Elephas maximus indicus: one gene and its partner. The protein of the gene in region 2 purifies or fractionates together with the protein of the main gene of each other region. This does not show direct contact. Links are inferred from orthologs where the notes say so. Each region holds a gene or a part of one and is shown on either strand. Other genes may lie near its edges. The genes, in order: VAMP8 and STX11.

Region 1 (10,745 bases), on a different chromosome or scaffold from region 2:
GCCTTCTATTTCTTGGCACCTCTCATGTTTCTCCATCCACCACCTCACTTGTTAGGTGCAATCAAGTTGGTTCCAACTCACACCAACCCTATATACAAAAGAACAAAACACCACTGACCAGTCCTGTGCCATCCCCACAATTGTTGCCATGCTTAAGCCTGTCGTTGCAGCCACTGTGTTAATCCATCTCACTGTGAGTCTTCCTGTTTTTCGCTGACCCTCTACTTTACTGACCATGATGTCCTTCTTCAGGGACTGATCCCTCCTGACAACATGTCCAAAGTATGTGAGACGTAGTCTCACTGTCCTTACTTTTAAGGAGCATTTTGGTTGTACTTCTTCCAAGACAGATTTGTTCCTTCTTTTGGCAGTGCATGATATATTCAATATTCCCCAACACCACAATTCAAAGGTGTCAATTCTTCGGTCTTCTTTATTCACCGTCCAGCTTTCACATGCATAGGAGGTGATTGAAAACACCATGGCTTGGGTAAGGTGCACCTTAGTCTTCAAGGTGACATCTTTGCTTTTCAACACTTGAAAGAGTTCTTTTGCAGCAGATTTGCCCAATGCAATGTGTCTTTTGATTTTTTGACTGCAGCTTCTATGGGTGTTGATTGTGGATCCAAGTAAAATGAAATCCTTGACAACTTCAATCTTTTCCCTGTTTATCATGATGTTGCTTATTGGTCCAGTTGTGAGGATTTCTGTTTTATGTTGAGGTGTAACCCATACTGAAGGCTATGTGTGGTCGTTGATCTTCATCAGTAAGTGCTTCAAGTCCTCTTCACTTTCAGCGAGAAAGGTTGTGTCATCAGCATAACACAGGTTGTTAATGAGTCTTCATCCAATTCTGATGCCCTGTTCTTCTTCATATGGTCCAGCTTCTCAGATTATTTGCTCAGCATACAGATTGAATAGATATGGTGAAAGGGCACAACCCTGATGCACACCTTTCCTGACTTTAAACCACTCAGTATCCCCTTGTTCTGTTCAAACGACTGCTTCTTGATCTATGTACAGTTTTGTCATGAGCACAATTAAGTGTTCGGGAATTTCCATTCTTCGCAATGTCATCTATGATTTGTTATGATCTACACAGTTGAATGCCTTTGTGTAGTCAGTAAAACACAGGTAAACATCTTTCTGGTATTCTCTGCTTTCAGCCAGGATCCATCTGACATCAACAATGATATCCCTGGTTCTGTGTCCTCTTCTGAATCTGGCTTGAATTTCTGGCAGTTCCCTGTCAATATACTGCTACAACCGATTTTGAGTGATCTTCAACAAAATTTTACTTGTGTGTGGTATTAATGATATTGTTTGATAATTTCCACATTCGGTGGGATTACCTTTCTTGGGAATAGGCAAAAATATAAACCTCTTCCAGCCAGTTGGCATAGACTAGTGAGTACTTCCAGCGCTGCATCTGCTTGTTGAAACATCGCAGTTGGTATTCTGTCAGTTCCTGGAGCCTTTTTTTTTTTGCAGATGCCTTCAGTGCAGCTTGGACTTCTTCCTTCAGTACCATTGGTTCCTGTACCTCCTGAAATGGTTGGACATCGACCAATTCTTTTTGGTACAGTGACTCTGTGTATTCCTTCCATCTTCTTCTGATGCTTCTTGACTCATTTAATATTTTCCCCATAGAATCCTTCAGTATTGCAACTCGAGGGTTAAATTTGTTCTTCTGTTCTTTCAGGTTGAGAAATGCTGAGTGTGTTCTTCCCTTTTGGTTTTCCACCTCCAGACCTTTGCACATGTCATGATAATACTTTACTTTGTCTTCTCTAGCCACCCTTTGAAATCTTCGGTTCAGCTCTTTTACATCATCATTTCTTCCTTTCACTTTAGCTACTTAATGTTCAGGAGCGAGTTTCAGAGTCTCTTTTGACATCCGTTTTGGAATTTTTTTTCTATCCAGTCTTTTTAATGACCTCTTGCTTTCTTCGTGTATGATGTCGTTGATGTCCTTGCACAACTCGTCTGGTCTTCAGTCATTAGTGTTGCCAGCGCATCAAACCTTTTCTTGAGATGGTCTCTAAATTCATGTGGGATATACTCAAGGTCATACTTTGGCTCTCGTGAACTTATTCTAATTTTCTTCAATTTCAGCTTGAACCTGTATATGGGCAATTGGTGGCCTCTTCTGAAGTAGGCCCCTGGCCTTGTTCTGACTGATGATGCTGAGTTTTTCCATTGTCTCTTCCCACAGATGTAGTCCATTTGATTCCTGTGTATTCCATCTGGCAAGGTCTACATGTATAGTCACATTTATGTTGGTGAAAAAAGGTACTTGCAATGAAGAAGTTGTTGGTCTTGCAAAATTCTATCATGCAATCTCTGGCATCGTTTCTATCACCAAGGCCGTATTTTCCAACTGCCCACCCTTCTTCATCTCCAACTTTCACGTTCCAGTCTCTGGTAATTATCAATGCATCCTAATTGCATGTTCGATCAATTTCAGACTGCAGCAGCTGATAAAAATCTTCAATTTATTCATCTTTGGCTTTAGTGATTGGTGCGTAAATTTGAATAATAGTCGTATTAACTGGTCTTCCTTGTAGGTGTATGGATATTATCCTATCACTTACAGCATTATACTTAAGGATAGATCTTGAAATGTTCTTTTTGTTGATGAATGCAATGCCCTTCCTCTTCAAGTTGTTATTTCCAGCACCCACCTCACTTAGCAGCTAGAATTCTTAATAACAGTAATCATGATAGCTAACATTCACTGCGGGTTTTTATGTGCCAAGAGGTGCTATGTAAGTTGTCTAAATACACATAAATATTAAGGTGTAGATCAGTGTGTCCAATAGAAATACAATTTGAGCCACATTTGTAATTTAAAATTTTCTACTTAGCCAAATTAAAAAGGGGGGAAAAAAGCAGATGAAATTAATTCCATTAATATCTTTTATTTTAACTCAATATATCCAAAATATCCAACACATCATCAATACATAAAATCATTAAGGAGATACTTACATTCTTTTTTCTACAGAGTCTTTGAAATCTGGTGTGTATTTTACACTTAGAAAAAAACGTTTTTTTTTTTTTTTACACTTAGAGTACACCTCAATTCAGACTAGCCACATTGCAAATTCTAACAGCCACATGGGGCTAGGCTAGTGGCTGCTGTATTGGACAGCACAAATATAGCCCCAGGATGAAATCCGTCTCCACCTGGCCGTACTAGCAACTTTTCTAAGGATGGTGAGGTGTAGGGCAGTCACATTCTCTGTGAAATCAGCTGTTATACCCCTGCTTATAGGGCTGATTGTCCTGTCTACCAAAATTCAGGTCTGAACCTTGAACCAAAACCATCCCCTTATGTCACCTTTTAATGAAATAACAGATTGGCACACAAAATAAGGGATATTCTCTGTGAGTACACTTCTCCATTAAAAAAAATCATCTATATGAGACCAAAGGGTCAATGATTACTCTAAAGCAAAGATGAGAAGACAAGGGGGCAGGAAAAATAGAATGCTGGAAACAGAGCAACCAAAAGGCAGTTAAAGAGAATGTTGACACATTGTGAAAAATGTAACTAATGTCACTGAATAATTTGTATAGAAATTGTTAAGTGGGAACCTAATTCGTTATGTGAACTTTCACCAAAAACACAATAAAATATTATTTAAAAAAATCTCAGGTGTCCATAATCTAATAATCTAATTGAGATTAAAACCTTATAAATTGGAAGGAACGTATCTCAGAGTGCTACCAAAAAAATCCCATTGGCCTTGAGTCAGTTCCAACTCATGGCAACCCCATGTGTGCCGAGTAGAACTGCCCTCCATCGGATTTTTAAGGCTGTGACTTTTTGGAAGCAGATCACCAGGCCTTTTTTCCAAGACCACCAACCTTTCAGTTAGGAGTCAAGAACTCAGCTGCTTACACCACCCAGGAATCCAAAGTGGTACCAAACCCACTGCCGTGGAGTCGATTCCTACTCATAAACCAACTCACAGAGAAAAACTGCCCCGTAGGGTTTCCAAGGAACAGCTGGTGGATTCAAACTGCTGAACTTTTGGTTAACAGCCATAGCTCTTAACCACTGTGCCACCAGGGGTCCTCAAAGTGATACAGTAGTCCAAAACTTCTTAAAGCCTTTTTTTAACAAATGTATTTTTTGGAGGAGCTGACATTTACCTCTCGGAACTGTTACCTCCTGTGATGGGTTAGGCATGTTTCTTCCCTTCTGCATGTCCCTGTTGTTGTTGTTCTGTCTTCTTGATAAAGACTATCTGGGAGGGGTGGATTTTCCCTGGCCTGGAGCCAGATTGATGGAAGAATCCTTCACCCTGGTACCCTCTCTGGCTATTGGGCAGTCCTCTGACCAGGCTTGCCAGCCCTCATGGGGCCCCTGAAGGGAAATGCAGGACTGCTGACCTTTGGAAGGAAGGAGGGTGGTGAGCCATCACTCCCTGGTACTTTCTGGCACCGTACAGGCCCTGAGCTAGGCACTTTGCTGGTGCTGTCTCTTTATCCCTCAACAGCACTGGCTGGGGTCAGTATTGTTCTTAGTTGCCATTGAGTTATCTCGACTCATAGTGACCCCATGTGACAGAGTAGAACTGCCCCATAGGGTTTTCTAGGCTGTAATCTTTACCAGGGTCGAAGGCAATGGGTATATGTAATCTTCACCAAGGAGCCCTGGTGGTGCAATGGTTGAGAGCTCTGGTGCTAACCAGAAGGGTGGCAGTTCCAATCCACCAGCTACTCCTCGGAAACCCCTTTGGTTAGCAGCTGAGCTCTTAGCCACTACACCACCAGGGCTCCAGTGTTAGCATCTGCAAAACTGAGAGGTGAAGGGTCAAGCAGGGTCATGGGGCTAGTAAACTGACACAGCTGGGACTTAAACCTTCCTGACGTCAGAGCCCAGGGTCACAGCATTCCAGACATCGCGGGAGTTAATGCTTTCGGCCCACCCACGGACCTGGGAAAAGGGGTTTTCCAGCAAGGAATTTCTGTATCTGCATTCTATTCCTAAGTGAACCAGGCCTCGCAGGTGCTATGATTGATTTCGGTCTCAGGTATTCAGAGCAGAAAAAGGAGACGGCTGCAGTTTCTAGGTCACAAGGCCCAACCTCAGGAAACTTAGAGGGCTGTTCCACAGTTCTTTTCTCCCTCCCGACGAGTTTGCAGACCTTTGCCGCCGGGGAGCCCTGTTGCTTAAGTCCAGACCCTGGTTTGGGAGGGCAGTGCAGGGCGCCCGCCTACCTGCGGGGACCTGCGCTAGGTGTGGCTGGAGCGGCCCGGGATGCGAGTGGGCGGGGGCAAGCTGAAAGTTGGAGTAAGCAGGAAGTGAACCGAGGGCTCCCGCGGGAGGAAGCCTACTAGGCGAGCTCGGCTGCCGGCAGGCCTTGTGCTCGGAGACATGGTGAGCGAACGGGGCGAGGAAGGGGCTGACTTAACCGGGACCGAGGAGCTCGGGCCGGGGGCTGTAGGTGCTGGAAGTTGCTGGCGGAGTCCGAGGGCTGGGCCAGCGCTGCCTGTGGCCCGTATTCTTTGACAGCTTGGCCGCAAATGGCTCGGAGCCGCCGGGCGCCTGTTCCCTCTTCTGCCCTCCCCTGACCTCCGTGCCGGCCCGAGCCGTGTGGGGGTCCGAATTCCGGGACTAGAACTGCCTGCCAACAAGTCTCCTCCTCCAGCCGGCCCGGGTGTCGTGGCGCTCCCTACAGGGTAGAGCCTCTGCTGTTTCCAGCTTAAATTCCAGCCAGCGGCAGGCTCTCTACCCCTGCCTTTCACTTTTACTCCTACACAAAACTCTGAAGGATTGGGCTGCCCACCGGGCCTCAGGAACTGCCCCCCTGTCGGTAAACTGGAGACTTAAGGGTTTGTAAAAGAATCAGAACTTGGTTGTCTGTGGTCTAGTGTTGGCCCATACCCCTGGCCTGTTTCAGGAGGCTCGGTGGGCCTAGCAGGCAGGAGTTTAATAATGTTTTTTCCCCTCCCTGTTCAAAAACCTTATCGTCAAACCTGGAGGAGGCACCAGCCAGGGAGGGCTTGTCTGGCATTTCACCCAACAGCGAACCTGGTATTTCAGTTTAATATCTGCATAAGCAGGCAGCAGCTTGGGGCCTGGGAATAGTGCTAAGTGGTGGGGAAAGCAGAAGTTTGCGGCTCAACGGCCTGGGTACCTCGTGGGGGACTTGGACTCAGGCTGCTCAGTGCTCTGGGTCCCAGCAATGGAACTATGGCTAGGCTGCCCAGGAGGGCCAGGAGCCTAGCAGCGCTCCAGCTTCGGGGCTGGAGAGAGGGCTGGCTGGGCTGGGCAGAGCAGCCACTTTTAAGGGGGTGGGGGCGGGAGGCTGTGGAATCAGGGGAAGGCAGGGATGCCTCTGGGAGCTTGTAAACAGTGGTGGGCTCTGCACTGGTGGGGAAAGGACGCCATGGATGTCAGCTCCACCATCTTCTGTGCCTCTCAGAGGGGCCAGGAGCAGCAGAGAGGGGCTTAGTAGTGTGCTGCTTTTCCTTATCAGGAGCCCTGAGAAGCCAGACATGAATTTGCTTTAGTCTGTCTAGATCTCACTTTCTGGGGCTAAAGAATACATTTACTTTTGATTATACAAGTAATACACAAAAAATTCTCTTTGCAACCAATTCAGGCATTACAAAAAGCTAAAGGCCCCCTTCCCCTCCTCTGGCCTTTGAGACAGGCTTTCAGTTCCTCCACCACTGGGCCTCATTAACCCTGTGTTGCTGCCCAGGAGGAGGCCAGTGGAGGCTCAGGAAATGACCGGGTGCGGAACCTGCAGAGTGAGGTGGAAGGAGTCAAGAATATTATGACCCAGAATGTGGAGCGGATCCTGGCCCGAGGAGAAAACTTGGACCATCTCCGGAACAAGACAGAGGACCTGGAAGCCACAGTGAGATGGGGAGCCCGCCGAGGCTGGAGGGAGAGAGGGAGGGTTGTGTGTTGGGGGCAAGGCAAGTATTTATTTGTGGGCCAAAAAAGAACAGGAGAGACAGAAGTTTGCAATTTGCCATTTCTATGCCTTTCTACGTTTTGGGAGTTGGTGTGAGCTGAGTCCCTGCTCTGATCTTCCACTTCTACACTGAGTGGTACTGGGGCCCAAGGCATGGGATCAACGATCAGGGATTGGGGGGCTGATGCTTGAGGCATTTTCTGAGACAGATGGATGGCTCAGTCAGACCATGCACTCTTAGGCTTCCCTCCTATAAAACCGGTTTTCCCTTTAAAGGATGCCCTTGACAATTATTTAAGATTTGACCTCTCCAGGACAAAACTATTAAGTCTGGGAAATCCTACTAGGGGCCTTTGCCTTCTCCAGGAGTTAGCAGGCAGGGGGTGGAAACTGCTGGAATCTTGCTGAGTCAGCTTTAAAGAGGAGCTGGAAGGGGAGTGAAATTCTTTGATCCTGGGGTCCTCTGCCAGCTGAAGGCTAGAATAATATTTCCCACACATCTTGCTAGGCCTCCTTCTTCTCTCTCCACCCAGGGGCCGGGGCCAGATGCTCAGGAAGGGAGTATCTCCAAGTTCAGCAAAGGCTGGAGCCTCAGGTTCCATATTCAGCCAGGAGAGACGAGCTCTGGCTTTCTGAGTCCTGTGGTTAATCTTGAGTATAGCTCCTTGGAGTCCCGGGGACTTACTTTTTCTTTCTGCCACCCAGTCTGGGGAGAATGGCCCAGGGAAACTTAGTTTCTGCAACTGAAGTTGGGGGAAGAGGTATGGTTTTCCTCACTCCCAACACCAACACCAGCCCCACTACCCAGAATGCCCCAGGTCTGTCCTCCAGCTTCCGCAGCCCCCACAGGTAAAGGAGTCATGGAGCCAGGGAGATGCCTGCGCCTCCCCCAGGGTCTGCCTTCCCAAAGCGTTTTTCCCCTGGGTAGAGCATGTGTGTACAAGGCCCCTCCACGTGTGTGACAGTGCCAAGGGTAGAAGAGAAGATGGCAGGTTGGGAGCCAGGGCCCCTGCCACGTTTAGGTAGAGAACTCTCTGGAGCCTAAGAATTCTAAATTTGAACGTGGTCTGCCAGGTGGTTCTGATGATACATTTGTCAAGGTAGGAAGCTAGAACTTTTTTTTTTTTTTTTTAATTTCACAGTTTGTTATCTCAGCTTATAGCTGAAATATTTAGATGTATGGCATGAATTTTTTTTTTTTTTTTTTTTTTTTTTTTTTATGGCATGTGAACCTCCACCCCGAGGGGAAGGAGGCACTGGGTCACTTACTGTCTCTTATCCCCGACAGTCCGAGCACTTCAAGACAACATCACAGAAAGTGGCCCGGAAGTTCTGGTGGAAGAATGTGAAGATGATAGTCCTCATCTGTGTGGTTGTCTTCATCATCATCCTCTTCATCGTGCTCTTTGCCACTGGTGCCATTCCTGTTTAGAGAGTCCCCTCCCACCCTGCCCTCTGGGGCAACCCTCCATAGTTGATGGCAAGGGGGCCCTCTCTCCCGCCCTCCTCCACAGGCAATGCTGCTGGGTCCAGGCCTCCGGCTCCTTGCCTGAGGTCCCTCTGTACATTGCCTACCCCAGGGAGCACCTTGGTCCACTGGAAGGAGAGAGCTGGACTGTGGCTGCATTTCATGGGTCCTCAGAGTGGGTTGGAGAGACTCGGGGCCCAGTATGTGGCTGGGAAACTCTTGGTGGCCTGAGGGTAATAAAGACTTTTCAGTATCCCTACGTGCGTGCACGTGTGTGAGGCACTTTCTCCTTTCCATTTTGCCTTTGACTCTCCTGTTTCTATTCTTCCTGAAAACAGTCTCTGGCTGAGGTCCTCTGACTTGAGACCCAAGTTGTTGGAGAGGTGGAGAGCTTATGTTTGGAGGAGAAAAATGGAGCCTGCCTGTATTTCTTTATTCCTTCTTGGTCCTAACCCATTCATTGTCACAGGTCTCAAGAGCAAGAGTTTTCTGGGGGTCTTGGCATAAAGCAAAACCTTCACAGCATTTTAGTGTGGTGTGTAAGACTCCTATGTATCCCCCTTAGACCCTGCCGTGTCCCTTTACTCCTTGTCTGCTGGAAGTGTTAGCCAAACATGAAGCCTCCCTGATAGCAGTTAGGAATCTGGTGTAGGCCTCTTGCCTCTCCCATCACTGACCCTTTTGCAGTCTAGAACTGGGGGTTAAAGGAGCTGGACTGCTTTTTCTTTTCTTCTGCAAGCTCTTGTCTGTTGCCTGCCCTGCCCTTCTGAGACTTAGCAGGGCCCCTGGGTCTCAGCTGTCCTGAGGGGGCAAGCGTCTCTTCCCCACGTCCCATGGCTGGGCACAGTCAGTGTCACAGGACAGGGCCTGTGGCCCTCCTTCCTGTCCATGCACAATGGGCTTCTGTGTCTTCAGGCCTGCCTCCTCCCCACCAGGTTCCACCGTCATTGCCACTCTTTCTAGTGCCCAGTCTGGTTTGTTTTGGGGGGAGGAGCCTTGCCATCTGTGCCCCTATTCCCCTAGTCATGGGTTTTCCAGAATTGGAAACATATTTTGCAAAGGAAGTAGGGAAGGGGCAGGGTTGGGAGGCTGGATTTGGGACTAGTACTCGTACATCAGGAGCCCTGGTGGCACAGTGGTTAAGCATTCAACTGCTAAGCAGGAGGTTGGCAGTTCAAATCCACCAGCAGCTCCTTGGAAGTCCTCTGGGGCAGTTCTACTCTGTCCTATAGGGTTGCTATGAGTAGGAATCGACTTGATGGCAATGGAGGTTTTTTGGGTACTTGTAAATCAGGTCCTAGAATCATGTTTTCTCCGGGGAGAGAGAAGGAACCACAGAAGAGACCCTGGGGCAGTCTTTGCCACAACCATGTCCATATTCTTTCCTCAGGCCACTCCTGAATTTGAGGTCCAAGGAACTGAGATGAACTCTATATGTTCAGTCCTGGGGCGGGGGGTGTCCTGGAGGGGTGAGGGTGAAACCTTCTTGGTGTAGGGCTTGTGTTCACAAGATCAGCCCCAAGAGGGAAGCCCTCAATCCCCTTCCTCAAGAGAGGCCTTCATTCAAGACATTGGGGATGGGGTGGAGACAGGTGGCTGCTGATTTTCTGTGGCAGAGTGGAGAGGATAGATGCACTCTGTTCAGGGTGGCAGTAGACACAGCAGCCTCACCTCATCCTCTGATGGCGGAGTAAAATCATACCAGGGCAGAGCTGCACTTGCCCTCTGGTGAGAAGAGAACACAGAAAAGCTAGGGCTAACACTTTCCTCTAGGAGTCTGTGGCCCTCCAGTCATTCGGACTCATGGCGACCCCATGTGTTACAGTGTAGAACTGCTCCATTGGGTTTTCTAGACTGTAATCTTTAGGGAAGCAGATCCCCAGGCCTTTTTTCGGTGGTGCCCTAGGTGGGATCCAATGGCCAGCCTAAGGTTAGTAAAAAAGTGCAAACCCTTTGTGCCACCCAGGGACCACACCTTCCCCCTGGGGGTCCGTTTTGCGATGCACTCGCCAAGGTATCAGAGACCCCTTCCCTAGCTTGTTCATGGCTGTCTCCCGCGCCTAGCACAGTGCCTGGCAATAGCGCTCATTCAGATGCCTGTTGAATGAATGAATGACGCCTCCCCACCTCACCCCATCGACTCAATCTCGTCTGCGGAGACTGGGACCCCAGGTGTGGCCAGCGTGCAGACCTGGCACCAGGCTGCTCAGGCGTAGCCCCCAACCCGAGAGACCGGGAGTGGAAACCCGAGCTGGGTGCCCGTGGCCAGGAGGAGGCGCCCTTCGCACCCCTGCCACCGTCGCCTGCTGCTTTCGATTTGATTTCGTTTCTGCCCC
Region 2 (11,820 bases):
GTCTTTATATTTAAAACGCATTTCTTGTAGGCAGCATGTAGTTGCATTTTGCTTTTTTTTTTTTTTACCAATCTGACAATCCCTGCCTTTTAATTGGCGTGATTAGAACACTTACATTTAACGTTACTATTTATGTGTTAGGTCAAAATCTAGCATCTTGCTCTCTGTGTTCTATTTGTCCCATCTGTTCTTCGTTTCTTTTTTCTGCTTTCTTTTAGCTCAGTTGAGTATCTTTATGATCCTGTTTTTTTCCTCAAATGTTGGCTTGTTAGTTATAACTCTTTAATTTGCTATTTTAGTAGTTGCTTTTGGGTTTAGAGTATATCTCTTCAATTTATCAGCCTACCCTTAAAGGATATTATACTACTTCACATATGGTAAACTTCCATATCTGCCCTCCTAGACCTTGTGATATTATTGTTATACATTTTATATTAACATATTTTATAAGGCTCATACTACATTATTATTTTAAACAGTTATCTTTTTTCTATAGATAATTCCCTTTATTTATTCTTTGTTAATTTTTCTGTCATCAGATTTTTAAGTCAATATTGCATAAACAGTTATCTTTTTAAAAAATACTTTATTGTGATTTTGGAGAAAATTTACATAGCAAATTAGGTTGTCATTTAATAATTTCTGTACATATTATTCAGTGACATTGTTACACTTTTCACAATATGTCAGCATTTTTATTATTTCCATTCCGTTTGTTCTGTTTCCATTAATCTAGCTTCCTTGCCCCCTTACCTTCTCATCTTCGTTCTAGGGTAAATCTTGACCGTTGGGTGTCATTTAGATGATTGTTTAGAGAAGCACAGTACTCACAGGTGATATTATTTATTTTATGAGCCGCTCTGTCTTTTGGCTGGTAGGTAACCTCTGGGGGTGGTTGAGTTCCAAGTGTAAATGGTATCCCAGGATGATAAACTTGGGGGCTCCTCTAGTCTCTACCAGCCCAGTAAGTCTGGCCTTTTTTTAGGAATTTGAGCTTTGTCCTGCATTTTTCCCCATCTATCTGGGACTATCTATCATGTCCCTGGTCGGAATGGTCGATAGTGGTAGCCAGGCACCATCTAGTTTTTCTGGTCTCAAGGTAGGTGAGGCTGTGGTTAGTGCAGACTATTACTCCTGTAGACTAGTTTCTTCCTTGAGTCTTTGGTTTCCTTCTCGCTCTTTTGCTCCAGACGTGTAGAGACCAATAATTGTATCTTTATGAGCTATGTTACGTCAACTGACCGAGCTGTCCCCAAAGACTATCATCTTAAGCCCTCAAACTCAGTAACCCAATTCCACAAGGTGTTTGATTATGTCTAGGAAGTATCCACAACTGTGCCCCCATGTGCTGTATTTTTATATAAGAATATGCAGCACACACAAATATGTATGTACATTTGCCTACAGAAACACCTATACATGCACACCTGTATATCCGTATGTACTCACCCACAGGTAAATAAGCATACGTATCTACTTATGTAATTACTTACATATTGTTTGGTTGTTATTACTGTTGTTGCACAACTGTATATGTTGTGGCCTTTACCAAAAATGTTTCTTATTCTTGTGTATTTCTTAGTGTCATCTCTTACATTGGTCAAGTTGTGCTACACTCATCCTTGTTTGATATTGCCTTACTCAACACCAAAACTAACAAATATCTACTATCTAGAAAGTGATTCTCCCTCCCGTCCCTGGTAACCACCAAAGAACATTGCTTTCTATATGTATACCTGGAAATTCTGGTGGCGTAGTGGTTAAGAGCTATGGCTGCTAACCAAAAGGTCGGTAGTTCAAACCCACCAGGCGTTCCTTGGAAACTCTATGGGACAGTTTTACTCTGTCCTATAGGGTTGCTATGAGTTAGAACTGACTAGACAGCAGTGGGTTATGTGTTCTTGTCTTTTTATAATGGGGTCATGCAGTATTTGTCCTTTTGTTATTGACTTATCTCACTCAACATAATGACCTCCAGATTTATCCGTGTTATAGTATATTTAGAGAACAGATTGTTATTCTTTATGGCTGCATAGTATTCCATTGAGTGTATGTACCACAGTTTATCCATTCAATTGCTGATGAGCTGTTGGGTTGTTTCCATCTTTTTGCTATTGTGAATAATGCTGTGATGAACATGGATGTGCATATATCTGTTCATGTCAGTAGTTTTAGTTCTCTAATGGGTTTTTTAGGGTATATACCTAAGAGTGGGATTGCCAGATCAGAGGGTATTTCTATTTCTAGCTTTTTGAGGAAGTGCCATATCGTTTTACATGGTGGTTGAACCAATTTACAATCCCAACAGCATGGAAGCAGAGTTCTAATCTCTCTGCAACCTCTCCAGCATTTGTTGTTTTCTGATCAGTGCCACTTTTGAAGTGATGAAATCGTATCTAATTGTAATTTTGACTTGCATCTCTCTGATGGCTAATTACTGTGATTATCTTTTCATGTGTTTGCTGGCCACTTGAATATCCTCTTTGGTGAGGTGTCTGTTCATGTCCTTTGCCCGTTTTTTAATTGGATTATTTGCCTTTTCACTGTTGAGTGTTAAGGTTTTCTGTGTATTTTAGAGACTAAACCCTTATCGGATATATCATTCTAAAAGATTTTTTTTCCCAATCTGTAGCTTCTTTTTTTAGTTTTTTGTAAACGTGATGGTTAAGGTTGTATGTCAATTTGCCTGGGCAATGATTCTCAGTAGCTTGGCAGTTATGGTGTAGTTTGGCAATTATGTAATGATGTAATGAACTCCATGATGAAATCTGCTATGAGCAGCCAATCAGTTGAAAGTGAGTTTCCTTGGGGGTGTGGCCTGGCTCCAGTATATAAATGGGTGTTACAGCAAGGCTTTCATACTAGATGCTATATCCGGCTTGTCATCATCTGACTTCCAGTTCTTGGGACTTGAACTAGCAGCTTACCTGCTGATCTTGGAGTTTGTCAGCCTCCATAGCCTGTGAACCAGTGACATGCCATCTGACCTGACAATCTTGAGCTCATCAGCCCTTGTAGATACATGAGTCAGGAGAAGCCTCCAGCCTAAAGCCTGACCCATGAACTTAGGACTTGCCAGCCTCTACAACCACATGAGCCATTTCCTTGAGATAAATCTCTCTCTGCACATGTACATATATACACATATATATATACACATACACACACACACACATATATATATACCTCATGGGTTTTGCTTCTCTACAAAATCCATCCTAAGAAGATAAAATTTTTGGTGAGCATAAGTATTTAAATTTTAGGAGGTCCCAGTTATCTAACATGTCTTATGTTGCTTGTGTACTTATAGTTGTGTTTGATAATCTATTACTGAAAAAAATTAGGTCCCATAATTTTGTCCCTGTATTATCTTCCAGGAACTTTATAGTTTTGGCTTTAACATTTAGGTCTTTGATCTATTTTGAGTTAGTTTTTGTGTATGGTATTAGGTATGGATCCTGTTTCAATTTTCTGCAAATAAATATCCAGTTTGGCCAGCACCATTTGTTAAAGAGACTGCTTCTTTCCCATTGAATGGACTTTGACTCTTCATTGAAAATCAGCTGCCCATAGACAGATGGATTTATTCCTGGGTTCTCAATTCTATTTCATTGGTTTATATGTCTGTCATTGAACCAGTACCAGGCTGTTTTGTTTATTGAGGCTGTATAGTATGTTGTGAGATCAGGGAGTGTGAGGCCTCCTACTTTGTTCTTCTTCTTCAATATTGCTTTGGCTATATAGGGTCTCTTTCCTTTCTGTATAAAGTTAGTATATTTTTCCACTTCATTAAAGAATGTTTTTGGAGTTTGGATTGAGATTGTATTATATCTATAGATCACTTTGGGTAGTGGTCATGGATTGAATTGTGTCCCCCCAAAATATCTGTCAACTTGGCTAGGTCATGATTCCCAGTATTGTATGATTGTCTATCATTTTGTCATCTGATGTGATTTCCCTATGTGTTGTAAATCCTATTGCTACGATGCTAATGAGGTGGATTAGTGCCAGTTATATTGATAAGATCTATGAGATTAGATAGAGTCTAAAGCCAATCTGTTTTGAGATATAAAAAAGAGAAGTGAGCAGAGAGACATGGGGACCTCATACCACCAAGAAAGCCTGCTGGAAGCAGAGCGTGCCCTTTGGACCTGAGGTTCCTGTGCTGAGATGCTCCCAGACCAAAGGAACGCTGATGCATCACAAAGACCTTCCTCCAGACCCAAAAGAGAGGGAAAGCCTTCTCCTGGAGCTGGCACCCTGAATTTGGACTTCTAGCCTACTAGGCTGTGAGAGAATAAACTTCTCTTTGTTAAAGCCATCTTCTTGTGGTATTTCTGTTACAGCAGCACTAGATGACCAAGACAGTGGCATTAACATTTTCACAATGTTAAATTTTCCAATCCATGAGTATGCAATATTTTTCCATTTATGAAGGTCACTTTTAGTTTCTTACAGTAGTGTTTTATAGTTTTCATTGTATAGGTCTTTTACATCCCTGGCTAGATTTATTCTTAGGTATTTTATCCTTTTGAGGGGTATTGTAAACTGTATTTTTAAAATTTCCTTTTCAGGGTTCTCCTTGTTAGTGTAAAGTAACCCGACTTATTTTTATGTGTTGATCTTGTACTCTGCCACTTTGCTGAATCCTTCTATTAGATCCAGTAGTTTCTTGTGGAATCTCTGGGATTCTCCATGTAAAGAATCGTGTCATCTGCAAATAGAGAGAGTGTTACTTCTTCCTTTCCAATTTGGATCCATTTTTTCTTTTCTTGTTTTATTGCTCTGACTAGGACTTTCAGGATAATATTGAATAAAAATGGTGATAGCAAGCATCCTTGTGTTGCACCTGCTCTCAAGGGGGAGGCCAGTTAATTATCTTTTAAGGATATTTAGCAATAAGAAAAAAATTTTTTGTATATTTACCTAAGTAGTTTCCATTTCCAGTGTTCTTCCTTCCTTTGTGTAGATCCATATTTCCATCTAGTATCATTTTTCTTCTGCCTGAAGAACTTCCTTTAGCATGTGTGAGTCTGCTGGTAATGAATTCTTTCAGCATAAGTATGTCTGGGAAAATCTTTATTTCATCTTTGTTTTTGAAGGATGTATTCATTGGGTATATATATATATATATATATATATATATATATATATATATATATATATATATATATATACATAGACAGTTTTCCTTTCTTTTTTTTTCCCCCTTAGTATTTTTTCTTCTCACTTGCATTCCTTTGGTGTGAAACATTCTGTCATCCTTATCTTTTTCTTTCCGTACATAATGTGTCATTTTCCTCTGGCTGCTTTAAAGATTTCCCCTTTATCACTGATTTTGAGCAGTTTGGTTATGATATGCCTTCGAGTGGTTTAATTCATGTTTTTTGTGCTCAAGCTCATTGACCTTTTCAGATCTGTGGGTTTTACAGGTTTCCAAAATTTTTAAAATATTTTTCCCACCCCTCCCTTCCTTTGGGGTTTGCAATTACATATGTATTAGGCCATTTGAAGTTGTGCTAAAAAATTACTACAGAGTATTCCTGAATATTCTCTACTCAGTTTCTCTAATTGTTTTGCTTTTTTCTTCCTCTTTCTGTTTTTCTCTTTCTCTCTCTTTGTCTCTCTGTCTCTCTCTCCACACACACACACAGTCACATATGGACACACATATGCACACACACATTGTTTTTTCTGAGCGTTTCGAGATTCAGTTGCAAACATGATGCCCCATTATTCCTTAATGCTTGAGTATGTATTTTCTAAGAAAAAAGAACTCTTCTGTACTACTATAGGTTTGATAGAAGATAGATCACACTTCAGTATTTCAATTTATTAACACTGCATACAGTCATAAATATTCAATAAAGACAGTTTCATGAAATTAAACTCTTGTATTTTAGCATTTTATTTTAGGGACAGTTTTAAATTGATTGATTCACTAAAATCAGGGATTGATAGTTCAAAAGGAATTTATAGTTTAAAGGAAAAATTACAACAATGAGGATCAAGAAAATGAATACCTATTGTATTTAAAGTAGAGATTCACATGGTAACAAGTGAAATACAAAATACCCAATTTTACTTTTCTATTTTTAGAATAGACATTTGTGGTTTTGTTTCATCAAAGCAGTATTAAATCATTGTTTATTTTAATATTATTAATTTTATACTTAGATGGTGCAGATTGATTTGGAATTTATGCATTTTTTAAGGGCCTGTAGACATAAAGAATATATATCATGTGTATGTTTAAGTAAGGAGCCCTGGTGGCACTGTGATTAAGCCCTTGGCTGCTAACTGAAAAGTCTGCAGTTCACACCCACCAGCCACTCTGCCAGAGAAAGATGTGGTAATTTGTTTCTGTAAAGATTATAGCCTAGGAAACCCTGTATGGCAGTTCTATCCTGTCCTATAGGGTTGCTGTGAGTCCATATCCACTCAAGGGCACACAACAACAATATTGTTTATATTATATTTAAATAACATTAGAGGAGTAATAGTTTGTCATTGATCCTGGATTTCCTGTTTTTTTTTTCCTTGCAGGAAGGTCCAATCATTATTTAAGACAGAAACGTGCTATGCTAGGCCCATAGATAAAATAAGGACCTAGAAATGATTATGGCCAGTACCCACATTTGTATTGTAACCGAAGATGAATTCCAATCTGCATGGGACATCTGTGTTTTTTTGTGACTAGAGCCGTGACAAAAGTTCCTGTTTTTCATAACTCACTTTTGCCTATTACCAACCTGTAGAAAATAAAGTTTAAAGAAGTCAGCTGGAGCTGCCTGCTTTCAACACCCAAAGCTAGTGATGCAAGGCCGTGTCAGCCCAAAGATTCCTCCTGACACTTGGGCACCCCAGTAAGGTAAGATGCTGCAGACCGAAAGGAGCTTCTGCCAGGCTCTCCAACGAGTCCTCACCAAGATCATCATCACATGGTGCAGATATCGTCAAACACACAATTTGCCTTTTGAATTTGTGTGTTCACTCTGCAGAGTTCAACCTGTTTTCACTATACCAAATTTCGTAAGTTTGTCTTAAACACCCATTCATCGTTTTAAACACTTTTTTTTTTTGTGGTACCAATATTGTCCTTTTTAATTTTCTTTAGAGTCGCAGAAGGATGCTGGCTGTTGTCTATGAACACACAGAAATTATAAATCATCTGTGACAGAGGAAACAGTTCGTCTGAAGAGGATACCAAAGGAAAAACTAAGAGAAACAAAAACATGGAGCTGCAGCAAATGGATGAAGAAGAGGAAAAAGAGAAGACCACCAGGTCTCAGCCCGAAAGTAAGACTTTTTGGTATAGCACTATATAGTTTCTAAATGGATCACACAAATTCATCTAAATGAACAAAATATGAATGTAAAAACGTTAAGTCTTTTTGTAAGAATCATACTTGTTGAGAACTAATTTAATTATTCAAATTAAAAACTAATATCTAGAGGCTTCTGCCTAAAATATTACGTATAAAAACCTTGGCTTACTTGTTATACTCTGTTTATGCTTTTCTGTTTCGCTTTTCTCAATTCCTCAGGACAGGGCAATGGTGCAAAAAGGGTTTACCAGAAATGAGTATTGAGCAACAGTCTCATCTTAAAATACTTTTGCAACTCGTTATGCAAAATCACTGTTGCAGAAAAATTGAGTTCCATTAAGCGCTATTCAGCAGACCAGTTATACCGTCTCTCTACCAGACTTTTTAAACCCATTCCTTTTCACAGGGAAGTTTTGTTCTCTTTGTATGCATACAGCAACCAATACATGCTAAACTGAAGTCCCTTACAACAAGTATGCAAATGTATTAGAAGAAAGTTTTCACTTAATTGAAGTTTGGGTTAAAATTAAAATACAACAATGCCATTTTAGGAATTGCAGGTGTCTTATTTACCTAGTGCTGCTATAACAAAAAATACCACAGGTGGAAGGCTTTAACAAAGAGAAATTTATTCTCTCACAGTCTAGGGAGTTAGAAGTCCAAATTCAGGGCACCAGCTCCAGGGAAGGCTTTCTCTCTCTGTTGGCTCTGAGGGAAGGTCCTTGTCATCAATCTTCCCTGGTCAAGGAGCTTCTTAGCACAGGGACCCCAGGTCCAAGGGAAGCGCTATGTTCTTGGTGCTTCTAACTTGGTGGTATGAGGTCCCCCTGTCTCTAGGCTTGCTTCTCTCTTTTATATCTCAAAAGAGATTGGCTTAAAACACAATCTAGTCTTGTAGATTGAGTCCTGCCTCATTAACATAACTGCCGCTAATCCCATGTCATTAACATCATAGAGATAGGATTTACAACACATAGGAAAATCACATCAGATGACAAAATGGTGGACAATCCCACAATACTGGGAGTCATGGCCCAGCCAAGTTTACAGATATTTGGGGGGCACACAATTCAATCCATGACAGTAGGCAAGGATAAAATTTTACTAATACCAAAATAATACAATTTCCACTACTTGTTTTCTACTCCTCCTTGTGTACCATGCACAGAAAAATAAATAAGCTTACTAAACAAAAAGGAACTTGCTTTTCTATGAGTTACCCATTGTGCCCTTTTCTTTTTAAAGTAATTTTTCTAATTTTACTTAGATTTTGAATGCAAGCAAAAAAGTCATTTGCTTTGGAGAGTCATTTTTTAAAAGGAAAAGAGCTTTGGGTCTTCTGTGGTCTTTGATAGTGCACTTGGATTCTTTATTTTTTAGTGGTTAAGGATTTGCATTTTGTGTTGGACACTAGGATTTGAATCTAGGTTCTTCTACTTACTGGTGCTGGGACTGTGGATAGGAGACTTGAAGTCTTATTTTCCCCCTTTGTCAAATGGGGTTGAGTAGGGCACATCTAATAAATTTGTGATGAGAATTATACGAAATTATATATGAAAATGTTAGCACAGTGCTTGGCAATTGTAACTGCAACAGCAAGTATTGGTTATCTTTAATATTGGTATTAGTATTATCCTATGAGTCGGAATCGACTCGGCGGCACTGGGTTTTTTTTTTTAGTAGTATTATGGGATTTCCCTTTTTTAATAATCTGGAGCTGGCTGATTATTTTATGTTTGAATCTTGAGCTTCAAGGTTTAGAATCTGTATTCTCTGGTAAGGCTGTGTGTGTTGAGTACTGATGGATTTTTTGCAGTACCGAAATACAGCCTTCCTCACATATCTAGAAACAACTTAGAACTTCTAAGATGTAGAAACATTTAAAACCTTAAAAATAAACCTATCACCTTACAAATTCTCATTTACATATTTCTATAAATTACGTGTTATATAAAGAAGCTATAAAAGATTCACCTGTGAATCTGAGGATATTTCTTTAGTCTGAGTGTACTGGAGAAAAATTTATATTATGTCACATACTGTATGTTTTCTTCATAAAGCTAATCAGTGAATTGAACAGTAATATGATAATACATATCACCAGGGGCTATTTTTGTAAGGACTGTAGGTACAGAATTTCTGAAGCTGGCATTTGAGGGCTATGATCTAGCTGCTAATTAAGGATGGCATATCAGTTACGGTCCCAACAGGAAACAGATGATACATTCAAATTAACCACCCACTGCCCTTGAGTCGATTCCGACTCATAGCAACCCTATAGGACAGGGTAGAACTGCGCCATAGAGTTTCCAAGGAGCACCTGGCAGATTTGAACTGCCGACCTCTTGGTTAGCAGCCATAGCACTTAACCACTACACCACCAGGGTTTCCACATTCAAATTAGAATAACTCAAAACCAAAACCAAACCCACTGCCATTGAGTCGATTCCGACTCACAGCGACCCTATAGGACAGAGTAGAACTGCACCATAGAGTTTCCAAGGAGCACCTAGTGGATTTGAATTGCCAACCACTTGGTTAGCAGCCACAGCACTTAACCACTACACTACCAGCCTTCCCAGGATAACTCAAGGAAGACTTATTTGTAAGAGGGCTTTTACAAACGCCATCACTTATCTGTCAGTTTATTGTACTGTGGTAGCTTATGTGTTGCTATGATGCTGGAAGCTATGCCACTGGTATTTCAAACACTAGAAGGGTCACCATGGTAGATAGGTTTTAGCAGAGCTTCTGGACTAAGACAGACTAAAAAGAAAGGCCTGGTAATCTACTTCCAAAAATTAGCCAATAAAAACCTTATGGATTACAACAGAACATTGTCCAACTCACTTGCTTTGGAGACATCATCAGGAAAGATCAATTGCTGGAGAAGGACATCATGTTTGGTGAAAGAGAGGACTAGAGAAGGTAAGGGACAATGTCTTAGTCATCCAGTGCTGCTACAACAGAAATAACACAAGTGAATGGTTTTAACAAACAGAAATTTTTTCTTTCACAATCTAGTATGCTAAAAGTTTGAATTCAGCATACCACCTCCAGGGGAAGACTTTCTCTCTCTGTTGGCTCTGGAAAAAGGTCCTTGTTATCAGCCTTCCCTTGGTTGGGGAGCTTCTTAGTGCAGGGACCTTAGGTCCAAAGGAAGCTCTATGCTCCCAGTGCTACTTTCTTGGTGGTATGAGGTCCCCATGTCTCTCTGCTTGCTTCTCTCTTTTGTATCCCAAAAGAGATTGGTTTAAGACACAATTTAATCTTGTAGATTGAGCCCTGCCTCATTGACATAACTGCCAATAATCCCATGTCATAAACATCAGAGATAGGATTTACAACACTTAGGAAAGTCACATTAGATGAGAAAATGACGGACGATCACACAATACTAAGATAGCCTAGCCAAATTGATACACATATTTTGGGGTGACACAATTCCATCCATGACAGAGACTCTTGGTAAGATGTTTTGGCACAGTAGCCACAACAATGGACTTGAACATGCTGGCGATAGTGAGGATGATGCACGTTGGGGCAATGTTTCCTTCTTTTGTACATAAAGTTGCAGTGAGTCAGATTCAACTCGATGCAGATATCTATGTATCTGTCTATCTATCTACCTATATGTCTGTCTCTATTACGAAGGTGTGGGCAGAGTGTCAAGGAACAGTAATATCATCCTGAGAATCATTAGTAGGGAGAAGTACCTGGAACCAGGAAGGAGAGAGAGTCATGTAGAGCAGTTTAGAATAAATTCACTGACCTCAACCCCTGTTTCTGCTCTCCTGCTAGGGTTCCTCATTGGTTAAGCCCAAGGGAAGCCACAGAGCACAGGAGTCTGTTAGGCTAATTCTCTCAGATCAGCAGGCCCAGGGCAGACAGCAGGGTGGAGGGAGGTGGAAAGCAATCTGGACGAACAAAGAAAAGACATCTGGCATATATGTTAATACTATAAAAATCTAGAATTTATTTTTTCTTGTTACTCTATTCATTGGTTGCAAATGTTTATAAAACAGAATTGTAGCTTTATACACACACAGTAGACAAGATTCTTCCAGGAATTTAGTTTAAAGCTACATTTTGAGCAATGGTGGAAAGAACATACGTAACTTAAAATCTTTGTTTTATAAAAATAAATTTTTTTTTAACTATATTGGAAGTATATGCATATTTCTAAGTCTTGTTATGCCTGGATGCCTCTCTTATAATGCCACCTCAGAACCCTGAGATCCTCCAAATTCAGTTCAGCAGTTACTTTGATCATTCATTCACTCTTCATTCAACAAACATTTAAGGGAGGTCTCCAATGTGCTAGGTACTGTGCTAGGCTTTGAGTAAAAGTAGTAAGTGGAAATAAAAACAATCTCTGCCTTTTTCAAGCTTACTTTTTAGTAGATTTGTGTTTTGAAATGTTTAGAGAAAGATCTAAATAGTTATATAAGTCTGGTTCATAAAGGTAATCATCAAGAGCAACAGAACCACA

The links.
Region 1: the proteins of STX11 (region 2) and VAMP8 purify together in Homo sapiens (co-immunoprecipitation; 3 studies listed by BioGRID and IntAct, counting the BioPlex papers as one, with this or other methods). This does not show direct contact. The link is inferred for Elephas maximus indicus from reciprocal best matches to the Homo sapiens genes STX11 and VAMP8.

What each region holds. Positions count from the first base shown.
Region 1 is NC_064835.1:49,018,373-49,029,117, reverse strand, and holds VAMP8 (vesicle-associated membrane protein 8), read left to right. Parts: upstream 1-5,199; 5' UTR 5,200-5,389; coding exon 5,390-5,392; intron 5,393-6,722; coding exon 6,723-6,881; intron 6,882-8,229; coding exon 8,230-8,373; 3' UTR 8,374-8,687; downstream 8,688-10,745. UniProt on the Homo sapiens protein: SNAREs, soluble N-ethylmaleimide-sensitive factor-attachment protein receptors, are essential proteins for fusion of cellular membranes.
Region 2 is NC_064819.1:214,679,915-214,691,734, forward strand, and holds the start of STX11 (syntaxin-11), read left to right. Parts: upstream 1-6,776; 5' UTR 6,777-6,871; exon of another isoform or gene 6,872-7,032; intron 7,033-7,117; 5' UTR 7,118-7,235; coding exon 7,236-7,299; intron 7,300-11,820. UniProt on the Homo sapiens protein: SNARE that acts to regulate protein transport between late endosomes and the trans-Golgi network.